Linked DNA regions of Tamandua tetradactyla. The protein of the gene in region 1 purifies or fractionates together with the protein of each later gene. This does not show direct contact. Links are inferred from orthologs where the notes say so. Each region holds a gene or a part of one and is shown in the gene's direction. Other genes may lie near its edges.

Evidence for each region. The genes of interacting proteins can lie anywhere in the genome.
Region 2: the proteins of INTS1 (region 1) and PPP2R1A purify together in Homo sapiens (affinity purification with mass spectrometry; 4 studies listed by BioGRID and IntAct, with this or other methods). This does not show direct contact. The link is inferred for Tamandua tetradactyla from reciprocal best matches to the Homo sapiens genes INTS1 and PPP2R1A.

Annotation. Positions count from the first base shown.
Region 1 is NC_135349.1:1,062,511-1,069,823, reverse strand, and holds the start of INTS1 (integrator complex subunit 1), read left to right. Parts: upstream 1-4,247; 5' UTR 4,248-4,361; intron 4,362-4,675; 5' UTR 4,676-4,708; coding exon 4,709-4,766; intron 4,767-5,341; coding exon 5,342-5,632; intron 5,633-7,313. Other genes in the region: uncharacterized protein LOC143667835, read right to left, coding at 1,355-2,350, 2,440-3,057, 3,442-3,450. UniProt on the Homo sapiens protein: Component of the integrator complex, a multiprotein complex that terminates RNA polymerase II (Pol II) transcription in the promoter-proximal region of genes.
Region 2 is NC_135342.1:8,986,180-8,993,978, forward strand, and holds the start of PPP2R1A (serine/threonine-protein phosphatase 2A 65 kDa regulatory subunit A alpha isoform), read left to right. Parts: upstream 1-4,750; 5' UTR 4,751-4,834; coding exon 4,835-4,912; intron 4,913-7,799. UniProt on the Homo sapiens protein: The PR65 subunit of protein phosphatase 2A serves as a scaffolding molecule to coordinate the assembly of the catalytic subunit and a variable regulatory B subunit.

The DNA of each region.
Region 1 (7,313 bases):
GATGGAACTACCTGATGTTCTGGAGAGGCTGGGCCCTCTAGGTGTCAGGACTTATCTGGACCAGGGACCCATCTAGAGGTTGTAGGTTTCTGGAAAGTTACTCTAGTGCCTGGACCCATGTGGCATCTTATATATCGCCCTAGGTGTTCTTTAGGATTGGCAGGAATGGTCCTGGTTGGGGTTGGCAGGTTATGACAGGTAGCAAGGTCTGCCTGAAGCTTGCCTAAGAATGACCTTGAGTAGTCTCTGGACTCTGAACTCCCTCAGCCACTGATACTTCATTAAACTTCTTTCCCCCCTTTTGGTGAGGATGGAATTGTTGATCCCATAGTGCCAGGTCTGGATTCATCCCTGGGAGTCCTCTCCCACATCGCCAGGGACTTTCACCTCTGGACGTCATGTCCCACACAGGGGGAGGGCAACGCTTTCACTAGGCCCTTTTAACCCACTCCTGCGGCACAGGCCTGCTGCGGGTGGTCCCTCTGCTTAGGTGGTGTCCCTGGAGCTGGGACCCCATCCATTCAAGGTGGACCTTAGCCCTTTACTAGAGTTCTATATGAGGAAAAAAGACAGAAGAGCCCAGAGAGCCCAGAGAAAAGCCCCAAGGAGCTGAGAGGGCCTGTGGAAGCTTAGACGGAGGCCCGGGAGAGAAGGACCAACTGCTGCCCCGATGCCGGCAGCCTGCAGAGGCCAGGTATCATCCTGCTGACCCCTTGCACTGGACAATTTCACGGCCTTAGACCTGTCAATTGTAAGCTAATAAATCCCCACTGCTGAAGCTGACTGTGGCTGGCGGATGGCATCCGGAGCTTCAGCAAACAGGAGCAGGAGAGAGTGGGGTGGACTCATCATGGTCGCCTCTTCTGGCTTCCAAACCCAGCGCCCACATGCACCGAGGCCCTGGGGCGGCCAGGGCGCCCTCCTGCCCTGTCCCCAGTGCAGTGATGCCTCGGGGCACCCGGCAGTGAAGGGGACCCAGAATCCTCCTGGTCTGGGAATGGCTAGAGGCCCGAGGTGCTGGGGTCAGGGGTCACAGGGGCAAGGGGTCAGGCTGCACCCCTTCCCCACCCCTGGAGGGAGGCTGGGCTGGAACTCGTGCACCAGCAGCCAGGGCCGACTGTCCGCCTGTGATGTTGCCCGTCCAGCTGGGGAGCCCCCGTGCACCCCGGGGTCTGAGGCATCATCACAGAAGCAGCCCCCCCAGTGCCTGTCGGCTGCGGGTTTTGTGGGGGGTCTCAGGCAACCCCCATGTGGGGGGTTCAGGGCTCAGTGCAGAGGGGATGGTTCTTGTGTCCTCCTAACGCATCCCCGAGCCACCCGCCACCCCTCCCACCCGCAGGCCTGGGGGGCTCACCTGCCCTCGCCTGGGTGTCCAATCAGCAATCCCCTCTGAGCCCCCACCTTGAGCGCAGCCCTGCCTCCAGGGCGCACACCAGGAGGTAGGGGACACGGAGGGACGCCTGTGTCGGGGGCTTCGCCTGCTGGACCCTCCGACGCGATGCCAACATCTGGCAGACTGAGGAGTCACCTGTCCTCCCTCCATCGCCTTGCCCTGTCCATGTTGCCCCGGCCCCAGGAAGCCCCAGGGCGCCTGTGCCACCCCTGGAGCTGAGGCCCACGTGGCAGCCGGGCAGGGGTACAGCAGTGTCCTAGCCCCCGCACCGCCCGCAGCCCCTACCACAGTCTCCTGGCCCCAGATGTGGGGGGTGGGGCTCGGGCTGCCTGGCCTCGGCCCTGCAGCCAGGGTGGGAAGGCCTAAGCGGCCGAGCTCCAGGGGGCAGAGCCGGGGCTCTGGGGTCCGCGACCACACAGCCACTGCTGGGCTTGGCCACCAGGTGAATCCCTTCCCTGCCCCAGCCTCCGGGCAGCTGGGACAAAGGGACCCCCATAGTCTCCCAGGGGTGGGCAGGGGGTGGCCTGGAGCCCTGGGAGGGCCGGGGCAGGCGGGTGGCCGTGGGGGTTCAAGGAAGGCTCCGTGGAAGGCCTGGGGCTGGGCGTGTGGCTTCCCCGTACCGGAGGGCGCAGGGCGGTCAAGTCCGCCTCGTCCCGCCCCAGCTTCCCTCAAGAAGAGGCCACCCCCACTGCCCAGGGACCCTCTCTCGGGCTCCCACAGGCCTCTGAGCTGGGATGGGCTCCTGCTGGCTTGATCCTGGGGAGTTGGGGGGCTACAGCCAGAGGGCCCCGGACCCTGGGGGGGGGGCAGATGGGAGGGGAGGGGGCCCCTCGTGGGCACAACCCCCACCCCGGGATGGAGGTACCCTGCCTCTGTTCCTCTCTGGACGCGGGAGGGGCCTGCCACCAACACGTCTCTGCCTGCTGCCTCCCAAAAGACTCGGAGTTTCTGAGTCTTCTTCCCTCAAAGGAGCCCAGTGGCAAGACCCTCTCGAAGGCCTCATTCCCGGACCCCGTCTGCAGGTGGGTGCCTGGGGCTGAGGGTACCCCTTCCCCGCTGTCTCCGCCCCCTTCCCCGCCGTCCCCGCTGGACCCCGCGCCCCTTCCCCGCCGTCCCCACCGGACCCCGCGCCCCTTCCCCGCCGTCCCGGCCGGACCCCGCGCCCCTTCCGCTGGTCCCCGGGCCCCTTCCCCGCCGTCCCGGCCGGACCCCGCGCCCCTTCCGCTGGTCCCCGGGCCCCTTCCCTGCCGTCCCCGCCGGACCCCGCGCCCCTTCCGCTGGTCCCCGCCCCCTTCCCCGGCCTGTCCACACCGGACCCCGCGCCCCTTCCCCGCCCCCTTCCGCCGGACCCCGCGCCCCTTCCCCGCCGTCCCGGCCGGACCCCGCGCCCCTTCCCCGCCGTCCCGGCCGGACCCCGCGCCCCTTCCCCGCCCCCTTCCGCCGGACCCCGCGCCCCTTCCCCGCCGGTCCCCGGGCCCCTTCCCTGCCGTCCCCGCCGGACCCCGCGCCCCTTCCCCGCCGGTCCCCGCCCCCTTCCCCGGCCTGTCCACACCGGACCCCGCGCCCCTTCCCCGCCCCCTTCCGCCGGACCCCGCGCCCCTTCCCCGCCGGTCCCCGGGCCCCTTCCCTGCCGTCCCCGCCGGACCCCGCGCCCCTTCCCCGGCCTGTCCACACCGGACCCCGCGCCCCTTCCCCGCCCCCTTCCGCCGGACCCCGCGCCCCTTCCCCGCACCCCTTCCACCGGTCCCCGCACCCCTTCCCTGCCGTCCCCACCGGACCCCGCGCCCCTTCCCCGTCGCCCCCGCGCCCCTTCCCCGCCGGACCCCGCGCCCCTTCCCGGCCGTCCCCACCGGACCCCGCGCCCCTTCCCGGCCGTCCCCACCGGACCCCGCGCCCCTTCCCCGTCGCCCCCGCGCCCCTTCCCCGCCGGACCCCGCGCCCCTTCCCTGCCGTCCCCACCGGACCCCGCGCCCCTTCCCCGCCGTCCCGGTTTGTGGTGTTTACTAATTTCTGTGGTGCAGATATTCCTGCATTGACTGATTTCAAGCCAGCAGCATGATGTCACTGGATGCAGAGCCAGGAAATGCTGGGCTCCATCCGCTCCAACCAGCGGTTCAAGCAGGCCCCAGCTCAGGGCTGCAGGAGAGGTCCTCCCGCGCACATCGGGTAGCACTGCTCCACACTGCTCTCAAAGTGAACCTGCTGAGTTACAAGCTATGGGAACTTTCAACGTTACCAGACCCCGCGCCCCTTCCCGGCCGTCCCCGCGCCCCTTCCCCGCCGTCCCCGCGCCCCTTCCCCGCCGTCCCCGCGCCCCTTCCCGGCCGTCCCCACCGGACCCCGCGCCCCTTCCCCGTCGTCCCCGCGCCCCTTCCCCGCCGTCCCGGCCGGACCCCGCGCCCCTTCCCCGCCGGACCCCGCGCCCCTTCCCGGCGCCCCTTCTCGCCGCGGCTCCTGCAGGGCCCAGGTCTGGGGCTCGGGGGTGGTGGTCCCAGGCTGAGCCCGGGGTTCGCCGGGCTCCTGCGCTCCCTCCCCCTCGCCGCCACCGCGGGGCACTCCAGGCCCGCCGCCCGTCCCTGAGGCGTCCGAGCCCCGAGGCCCGGCGGGGCCCGTCTGTACAGCCGACCAGTCGTACTCCCCGCGGGCTGCGCGGCGGAGCGGGCACTCGGCGGAGCGGGCACCCGCAAGGGCGGGCACGCGCAAGGGCGGGCACTCGGCGGGGCGGGCACTCGCCGGCTCTGGCCGCTCGCGGAAGCTGCAGTGTCCTGAGCGGCTGCCCCGCCGCCAGAGGGCGCTGCAGGCACGGCGAGGGCGCCGCCCGCCCGCCTCTCCTCTGCCTCCCGCCGCGCTGTTTTGCTTCCCACAATTCCGGAAGTGGGAGCGCGGAGAGCGGGAGCAAGCGTTTCCGGTTCCGGGGCGGCCGGAGCGGCCGGGAAGGCGCTCGGGTGGCCTAGGCGATGGGCTGGAGGTGAGTGGGCAGGGGCCCTGGCCTCGCCCTTGCCGCCGGGCGGAGCTGGCTCTTTGCTCCTTGCCCGGCCCGTCTTCCCTTAGGCTTCGGGGCGCCTCGGCCGGCCCACGCGCCCTCGGCAGCCGCCCCGGCCCGTGCCTCGCGGCTCCCGGCGCGATCGAGCCCCCTTGCAGGCGGCGTGGGTGCCGGTGTCTCAGGCAGCCCCTTTGAGAAACGCCCCGCCGGGCAGACTTCGGGCCCCGTTCGTCCCCTAGGTCCTCAGTCCCTGCACGGCAGGGGAAGGAATGAATGAATGATGTCGCGCTGTCTTTCAGGTGACACAGCAGCAGCGAGGGGAAGGGGACAGAATGAACCGTGCCAAGCCTGCCGCCGTCCGGAGGCCCAGCGCGGCGGCCAAACCTTCAGGCGAGTGAGAGCAGCAACGGGCTCTTTGGGGACTTCTCAGCTTTGCCCTTTGGCCTAAGTTGGAGCTTATTTAGCAGTAAAGTATGTTTCTAGCAATGAGGTCTAGAAAGAAACCTCGGTCCTAAGAGCTTCTGGAGTCCTTGGTGGATTTTGGACGCTGTGGCCTCCCCTGGGAGACTGTCACCTTGTTTCAGGTGGTGCATCCAAGGCTCTAGGCAGGAATCGGAGAATAATGTAGTTGAGGGCAGCGTCAGGAAGGTGGTTAAAAACTCAGGCTCTGGAGTTGCATTCCGGTTTTGTCTTTCCACCCTCTGCACCCCTGGGCATGTTCAGCCTCTCTGGGGCTCCTTGTCCTTTACCCTGTTTGGAAACTCATAAGGATTAAATAAACTAATACTTGTAAGTGGTAAGCTTTGCATAACTGCTGGTCATCCTTGATACTACATTATACCAGTCTCAGTTTAGCTGTTGACTTGCTAAGTAGCCTCGGGCTTGTTTTGTGCCTTCTCTCATCATTGTTTAACTCTCTCTGAAATAACAGGAGATTGGATGTATTCTCTTTCCCTTCTGTGCAGGACACCCTCCTCCAGGAGATTTCATTGCTCTGGGCTCAAAGGGTCAGGCCAATGAATCGAAAACAGCATCTACCCTCCTGAAGCCAGCCCCTTCCGGCCTGCCTTCAGAGCGCAAGCGGGATGCTGCAGCTGCTTTATCGGGTTCCTCAGGCCTGACTGGCCTCACCAAACGCCCCAAACTCTCCTCCACACCACCTCTGAGTGCCCTGGGGCGCCTGGCTGAGGCTGCAGTGGCAGAAAAACGAGCTATTTCTCCTTCCATTAAAGAACCATCTGTGGTACCGATTGAAGGTAAAGTAGGCCCTGGGCTCCTCAGAGCACGTACCCTGTTCCTCGTGAGTCCAGCAGCGTTTAGTGGACACCTCCCAGGCTTAGCACCGTCAGGGTCCTGAGAGAGGACGGATGAGACTAGATGTCTTAACAGGGCAGTTTGTTCATCTGAGAATTCATTCTCCAAAGCACCTCTCGTACAGGTGCCTTTATTCCACCTTCACTTCTAAATTCCTTGACAAGAATCAGGGAAATACTAAGGTGGCCCAGGGCGAGATGGCCTAGGAGAGAGGTGGGGTGGGGGCAGCACACAGGGAGATCTAGAATGACACAGTCACATTGTAAGAGCAAGTTTCTGACATTGGACAGGTCAGTGAGCCTTGTTGGCCTTCTCTGTAAAGTTGGGGTGAAAAGTAATAGGGTTTAGGAGTTAACAAGACTGCTGTGTGCAGATGCTTCATCAGCTGTGACGTGTGGGGTGAGAGGAGGACCTCCGCCGTTGTGTTCTCCCCACCTTCAGGGAAGGGGTACAGAAGAAGCTGCTGCATGAGGGTCAGTGCACCCCTAGCCTGCTGCCAGCTGCTCTCCTGTGGGAGCTTTAGTTAACCTGGTAGTCGTTTGGTGAGCATCTGCTCTGCAGGAGCTACCCTGAGCACAGGGACCAGTGGCAAGTGTGGCAGGTGAGGCTCTTCTCTCGTGGCTGGGATACCTCGTGTGTCCCCTCACCTGGAGAGGCTGGGTCTGCATTCGCGTGTATCTCCCCACCCAGGTGCAAACAGTAAAGCGTTTTACCCCCGCCTTTTCCAGTTGAAAACGCATTACAACATTAAAGACCTAAAAGAAGAATAGAAGCTCGATCATGATTTCACTACGCACACAGGTGTTTTTACCGTGGTGCGAATCTCTTGTTTTCCCTACGCTTCTGTGTGAGCTTCCCAGGGGTTGTCTTTAATGGCCCCACAGCATCCTGTGGGGTAGATCTATTAGAGAGATTGAGGCCCAGACACTGAGCCCGTGGGTCCTCGTAGGTTTGAGAGCAGACCTTGTCTGTGTATTTTTGATTGTGTGGGAGCATTTCTTTAGGTTAAATTCTTTGTAGGAGTTACGAGACAGAACGTCTTGACAGCTTTGGTAATGGTCTATCAGTTTAACTGAACCCACCACATGTTATTGAGACCATGAATGTGGAGTCACAGGGGTGTGAGGATAAATAGCCTGTGGCTCCTGCCCCCAGAGTGCAGACCCTCAGAGGCGCCAGGTGACTGTAACTCAAAGCTCCGCGGAGTAAGTCCCACTAAGGGGCTGAGCAGTCAGGTGTCCTGACTGCTCAGGTAGGGAGAAGGCACGTCAGAATTGCAGCGTGAGATCAGGTCTGCAGGATGGATGATATTGTTACAGGCGGTAAAGAATGCTGGCAGGAAGACAGGCGAAGCAGAGCCGTCTTCCTGGGGAATGAAGCTGTGCCAGGGCTCGGTCTGGGTGTGGCCTGGCTGGCACATGGTGGCGAGCAGTGTGGCCCAGAGGTGTGGACAGTGTCTGCATCTGGGTCACTTGGAGTTCAGAGGCAGTGGGGAGCAGAACTGACTGAGCAAGAGCCAAGCTGGCAAAGGCTGGGACTCCTCTGTGCTGAGGGCCTGACCTGCCCTGTCTTCTCACCTGCCAACTGGGCTATGCCATTTTCCTTCTCCCCTTCAAATGAAGA
Region 2 (7,799 bases), on another chromosome or scaffold:
TACCTCTGTTACAATTGATGAAACAATATTACTACTATACCATTAACCATAGTCCATAGTTCACATTAGGGTTCACGGTTCATGTTATACAAATCTGTGGACTTTTTAAATTTTTATTCAGGTAATATATATACAACACAGCATTTCCCATCTGAGCCATTTTCAAATACAAAATTCAGTGGTGCTCACAATGGGAGACAATATTTGGAAACAACATATCAGATAAAGGTCTAGTATCCAGAATTGTTAAAGAGAGTGTTCAACTCAACAACAAAAAGACAGCCAACCCAATTACAAAATGGGCAAAACACTTGAACAGACACTTCTCAGAAGAGGAAATACAAATGGCCAAAAGGCACATGAAGAGATGCTCAACTTCCCTGGCTATTAGAGAAATGCAAATCAAAACAACAATGAGATAATATCATCTCACGCCCACCAGAATGGCCATTATCAACAAAACAGAAAATGACAAGTGCTGGAGAGGATGTGGAGAAAGAGGCACACTTATCCACTGTTGATGAGAATGTCAAATGGTGCAACCACTGTGGAAGGCAGTTTGGCAATTCCTCAAAAAGCTAAATATAGAATTGCCATATGTCCCAGCAATACCATTGCTAGGTATCTACTCAAAGGACATAAGGGCAAGGACAACAAACAGACATTTGCACACCAGTGTTTATAGCAGCATTATTTACAATTGCGAAGAGATGGAAACAGCCAAAATGTCCATTAACAGAGAGTTGACTAAACAAACTGTGACATTTACATAAGATGGAATATTATGCAGCTTTAAGACAGAATAAACTTATGAAGTATGTAACAACATGGATGGACCTTAAGGACATTATGCTGAGTGAGATTAGCCAGAAACAAAAGGACCAATAATGTATGGTCTCAATGATATCAACTGACATTAGTGAATAAACTTGGAGAATTTCACTGGTAACAGAGACCATCAGGAGATAGAAATAGAGTAAGATATTGGGTAATTGGAGCTGAAAGGATACAGATTGTGCAACAGGACTGAATGTAAAAACTCAGAAATGGACAGCTAATGGTGCTAATTGCATCTGTAATATTGGGCTCCTATCACCACCATTACTAAAACTTTTCCATCAGTCCACATGGAAATGCTGTACCAAGTAAGCATTAACTCCCCGTTCCCTGACCACTACCCTGGCCCCTGGTAACCTGTCTCCCAGTTTCTGACTCTATGAATTTGCATATTCTAATGTTTTCATATAAATGAGACCATATAATATTTATTCTTTTGTGTCTATAGCCTTATTTCTCTCACATGATGTCTGCGAGGTTCAGCCATGTTGTCACCTGTATCATACCTTCATTCCTTCCTCTGGCTGAATAATTTTCTGCTGGATAGACAGACCACTGTCGTGGTCAGGTCCATGTATCAGCTTGGCCAGGTGGTGGTACCTGTTTGTCTGGTTGGGTAAGTGCTGGCCTGCCTATTGCTATGAGGACATTTCATAGAATTAAATCATGATCATGTCGGCTACATGAATAGCTGATTCCATTTGTGATCAACCAAGGGGAGTGTCTTCTGCAATGAGTGATGCTTAATCTAATCACTGGAAGATTTTCAAGGAGGATTCAGAAGAGACAGGATCTCTTCCTGCTTCCACCAGCGAGCCTCTCCTGTGGAGTTCATCCAGACCCTCCATCAGAATCATGAGCTTCACAGCCTGCCCTGCGGATTGTGGACTCTACATTCCCATGATTACGTGAAATACTTTAATCAATTTTATATTTATGAATATTTCCTGTTGATTCTGTTTCTCTAGAGAGCCCTAACTAATACAGACCACATTTTGTTTCTTAATTCCTCTGTTAATGGACACTTGGGTTGCTTTCATCTTTTGGCAATTGTGAATAATGCCATTGTGCTGGTTTGAAATGATGTATGTACCCTAGAAAAGCCATTTTTTAATCTTAATCCCATTTTGTAAGGGCATCCATTTCTTCTAATCCCTATTTCTAATAGGATTATGTATGTTTGAACCTGTAATCAGATCATCTCCCTGGAGATGTGATTTAATCAAGAGTGGTTGTTAAACTGGGTTAGGTGGAGACGTGTCTCCACCCATTTGGGTGGGTCTTGATTAGTTTATGGAATCCTATAAAAGAGGAAACATTTTGGAGCAGACGATTACGCAGCCACGAGAAGCAGAGAGTTCACCAGCCAGTGACCTTTGGAGATGAAAAAAGAAAACGTCTCCTGGGGAGCTTTATGAAACAGGAAGCCAGGAGAGAAAGCTAGCAGATGACATCGTATTTGCCATGTGCCCTTTCAGCCAAGAGAGAAACCCTGACGGTGTTTGCCACGTGCTTTCTCATTTGAGAGAGAAACCCTGAATTTCATCGGCCTTCTTGAACCAAGGTATTTCCCTCTGGATGCCTGTGATTGGACATTTCTATAGACTTGTTTTAATTGGGACATTTTCTCGGCCTTAGAACTGTAAACTAGCAACTCATTAAATTCCCCTTTTAAAAAGTCATCCTGTTTCTGGTATATTGCATTCCAGCAACTAGCAAACTAGTAACAACCATGATCATTGGTTGTAATGACTTTCGTTTTAATCACAAAGGCATCATCTGGCTATTATAAAAGTTCAGATAGACAAAATAAAAACAAAGTGGGATGGAAAAAAAAAGTTTTTTCTCTTGACCTGTTCTACCCTCAAAGTAAGCAATGTTCTATCTTGGTGCATATTCTTCCAGAGCTGCTTACATTCTTATCCAGACATACCCATGTACACACACGTCCACAGACACATACCCCTTCATGCCAAACATATTACTCTGCAATTTCCATTGTTAGCATAGCATAGATCTTCGACTTTTCCTCTTAGTACATAGAGATCTAACTGGTTCTTATGAGGAGTTGCTTAATAATCCATCGTTAGTGTACACACCCCACCCCACCCCCAGTTTATTCCTCCAAATAGTGGATTGTCCCATTTTAGACATTAGAGAATGATGATCAGGAAAGAAAAGGCAAGACATAAAGCAAAGAATGTTTCATTGTTCAAGAATCTCCTGGCTTTGTTTGACTGTACCCCTACCCTGAAATGAGCTCAGACGTAGCAAAATAATCCCAAATCTCAAACTAGGTATAATTTTTATACTATTACATAAAGCTTTCATTTTATTCAAGTAGGACATCAGGGTCAGCTCAGATTTGAATTTCAGCTGCCCTATTACCATTCGAGAGATCTGAAACAATTTCTTAAATTCTCTATGCCTCAGTTTTCTCATCCATAAAATGGTAGCAATAATGGTTCTTTACCTATCTCATAGGGTTGTGGGAGGAAGTGCAATTCATTATACTTAAGTGCACATCATTTGGCATTCATGTTGTCATTGCATGGACATTTCTTAAGAAAATACTTATTAAACTAACAATTTTCCTTGGGCATTTGGAGCCAATCATTTGTTCTTTCCCAAAGTTTTGTATGAGATTTAAAAAAAAAAAAAAGCAAAGCCTCATAGAACCTAGCTATTTCTCCTGGAATACATATTAATTTATTAAATCCTAAGTTTCCTTGTGTTTTAAAGAGCTGTTAAAAAAAAAAAAAAGCCTCAGCGGCTTTTTTTGAAAATTCCTCTGCGCTGGGTACCCAAAAGATAAAACCCCCCAACCCAAACAAAACCCGAGCAGTCCAGCATCACAGCAGGCAACCGTCCCTAACCCCCAGCTAAGATCCACAGCCTCGGTGGGCTCGGGTGGGCAAGCCTGGGAACACGGAAGGCAGGGGCTGAAATACCCCGAGTCTCACACATGCACTCTTAACACGTAGTAGTTTCCTGACCCGAGTGGGTGGGGGTGTGCAGACCCGTTGAGGGGGGTCCTGGCTCAGCCTCACCCTTCAGGTGGGAATGACCAAGTGGGCTTCCCATTCCCACCGCCCACAGGGTGGTCCCGAGGCTGCGGGAGGGGTGGGGTGACCGTGTGGAGTGAGGTACGCCCCGCGCCCACCCTGAAGAGACAGACGGCCACTCAGAACGACAGCCCCAGGCCCCGGGAGGGTTTTTTCTTGCTGGAGGGAGGCCCAGAGGACGAAGGCAGAAGGTAGGGAAGACAGGGGAGACCTCTATGGAGACATCTGACGAGTGAACAGGGGCTGCACTCTAAGGAGTTTGAAGTGCGACTTGGGAAAGGCTTGTAGGCTAAAAAAAGCAGGAAGTGCTCAGGCGGGGAGGAGCGAGATGTGGCTAAGAGGGCGAGCGGGTCGGATCCACGGGGTTCTTGGGTTTTACTCAGAGAACCAGGCAAGTCTCCTCCATCCCAGGGATAACCTGAGGACCTCCCGCTCCCTTCAATTCCCTCACAGGTACTCCAGCGCCACCGCCCGACACCCCAAAATGCGTGGGGACCCCACCCCTAGGTGACGTCATGCGCTCCAGGCGGCACACGCACAGAAGCCTTCTCCCGGACTCCGCCAAGGGCGGGCTACGCCTCCGCCCGGTCCCGCCCCTCGATGTAGAAACCACTGTTCATCTCGCGTTGCCAGCGGCAACGTAGGCGGCTGGTTGCTAAGATACCTGGTATTGCGGTTCCCCCCGCCCCTTGCTAGGCTCCGGCCAACCCAAGCTCGTCCATTCAACCAATGGCAAATGGGCAGTGGGCGGGACTTGATTTACTCGGACCAAAGAAACGCGGGCTACATCCGGCGTAGCGCAGCCAATGAGCGCGGGGCGGCCCCTGTAAATTGGCCCGAGCGCCCCCTCGCTCGCCGTTCCTCCGCCCCCGGCCCCGCCCCACCACAGCACTGTGCTGGTTGCGGTCTGACCCGAACGGAACGGAGCCAAGATGGCGGCGGCCGACGGCGATGACTCGCTCTACCCCATCGCGGTGCTCATAGATGAGCTCCGCAATGAAGATGTGCAAGTAAGAAGGCTGTAGGGGCTCGGGGAAGACGGCAAGGGAGACATGGAGGCCCTTGGAGGCCCTCGCGGAGGGGATCGCCTTTCGCCTGGAGTGGCGGCCGAGTTGGCGGCCAATCAGCGTCCAGCTCTCATCCCTCTGGGTCCCCGGACCCCATGAGACGGCGCTACGGATTGGGAGTCGGCGCAGCGGGGGGGTGGGAGCATGGGCGCGCCTGGAGGGTCCTGGGCCTGCCGAACGCGCGCGGTAGCCGGGGGTCTGGGAGGCCGGGGTGGGGGCACGGGATGAGGGTGGGTAGGGCCCCGTGATTGGCGGAGGTCCCGGAGTGGCCCCTTGACTGGGCGGGGAGCGGGCGCGGCCGTGTTGGCCAGGACTTGGGTGTGATTTCTTCTTCTTGGGTTTCCGCGGGGCCGCGGCGTGGGCCCCCAGAATGGGCTGCCTTCGCCATTCCTGCCCTCCTCTCCCATTTTGATGTACACCCTCAAAGAGGAGGAGGGCGCACCGGGGGGAAGCCAGCACTGTAGCAACCCGCCCCCTTTCCCCTCCACCCTATCCCCCCACTTTCCTCAGCCGGCTCACGATTTTCTCCTGAGTGGGTTGTTGGGGGAGTGTTATATATAGGGGGGCTTTGAGCCGGCTTAGGGCTTCCTGATAGACCTGGGGGGCCGGTCACAGCTCCACCGCCCACACGCTGCGTGACTTTGGGCGAGTTACTTCACCGCTCTGAGCCTCTTTTCCAGGCAGTGTGGGGTGATATAGTCCTGGCCTCACTGGGTGATTGTGAGGACTGATTGCGTTAAAAATATTAGTAAAACAGACGGCTTCTGGCCGATTGTAAGGGCCCAGCAAATATTAGCCGTAATTATTGTGAACAGTGCGTGAAGCCTCCCATCCTCCATCTCGTCCTCAGATTCCCACTTATAAAATCGAGGGGGATGCACTGGGAAATGTTCCAAGGCCGGGCAGGGCTCGGAGGTTTTGGGTGCCTCGCTCTCATTCTGGAGTCAGACAGGCTCCCCTTTGTCGAGTGAAAAATGGCACTTGACGGTGTTAAACAGGCAAGAATGACTATCCAGTGGCTGTTACAGCAAAGGGAGAGAGTTAAATTCAACTCTGCGGAAAAAAGGAAAGCCGGGTTTTTAAGGACTGGAGGTGGGTTGGAGGAAAAGCCTAGGAAGATAGCAAGGGGTTTTATCACTGGGATGGGGGAAGGGATTTGCTGAGGTTGCAGTTAGGCCTGGTTGGTTCCTTCAATGTGAGCAGGGATTTACTGGTTGCCTTCTGGACCACCTGGTTCGGAATGTTTTCTTTTGCTGTAAGGGCCAGGAGAAAGAAGGAGGGAGCTAAGGAACCTCCCAATTAGGAGCTTCTCAGGTGCCTGGGTAGCCAGGTGAGGGGAGAGGAAGCTCGGGGGTGAAGTTGCTGTTTACAATTGTTGGGGCCTAAAGTTGTCCTTTTTCCATTTGTCTTGTCGGCGGTCCGGTGCTCCCCACCCCTCACCCCCTTGCAGTTGGAGTTGTTTTTGTGTGCAGTCCCAGAGCTGCAAGATTAGTCAGGACCCAGGAGGGAGTGGGGAGGCATGCAAGGAGTAAGCTGACTGCTTGGTCAGTTTGTACTCCTCTCTCTTCAACTTCTTGCTGATTGATATGGACAAGTTAGGTGAGTCTTGGTTTCTTCTGACAAATGGGGATAAATGTCTTGTCGGCCAGGCAGTTGTGTGAATTCACGTGTTCAGTAAACATCTGCTGAGCCTCAGGTATGGTGCTGGGGCAATAGCAGTGACACTGGTTGCTCTTCAGGAGACAGGTGTGAAGCATGTCGACAGCTAAATATAGTCACACATATGAGACATGGTGGGCAGGAAACAAACACGATGTGATAGTGGGCCTGCAAATATCTGGAGCCTCAGCTGTGCACTGTCTTTGGCACAGGTGTTTAGCAGAGGATGAGAAGGACATTTCCTGGCTTTGTGGTGCTTATCAGACTAGGGCTGGGAGATAAACAGTAAGCAAAATAAGTAAATTGAATAATATGTGAAACAGGGATAAATACTATGAGGAAAAATAAGAGAAATGTGGAGTACAATTTTAAAAAGAGTGGTTAGGGGAGCCCGTGCTGAGAAGGTAATATTTGAACAAAGATACCAGATTTGCTGGTACAAATTGCAAGAAATGTAATGGCTTAAAACAACAGAAATTTGTTATCTGACAGTATTGTAGGTCCAAAGTTCTGACATGGTGACTTGACTAGGTAAAATCAAGGTGTCAGCAGGGGTATCTTCATTTCTGGACACTCTAGAAGTGAACCATTTCCTTGCCTTTTCCATCTTCTAGAGGCTTTCCCCATCTAGTACTTTCCTCCATCTTCAGGGCCAGTGAGGGTCCTTCTTCCTGATTTTTCTTTCATAGTCTCCTTTCCCTCTCTCACAGTCCGGAGAGATTCTCTGAGTTTCAAGGATCGATGTTATTATATTGAGTCTGCCCAGGTGTTCTCTAGGTCCTTACCCAGATCACATCTGCAGGCTCCCTTTTGCTTCATGAAGCTGCATAATACTTGGTGATTCCAGGGATTGGGTAGTGGACATCCTGGTGGGGCTTTATTCTGCCCCCCACAGTCACTGCATTGGAAGGGGGAGATTGAGGGACAAAGTGGTAAAGAGGGGATGGTGAGTGTGCTTTTTTTTTTTTAACTTCATCAGTTAATTTAGCTTTTTTTGTTTGTTTGTTTAATCCTTGCAGTTTTAAATGTTACTGCATTGAGGTCAGTGAAGCTGAACTTGTTCCACAGGAATTTATATTTATGGAGTACTGGGTATTGGGCTGCCTGATGAGGCTACAGCTGTGAACAGACCACACGTGGTGGGCAGCGTCCACTTCCTTGGGAAGGCAGA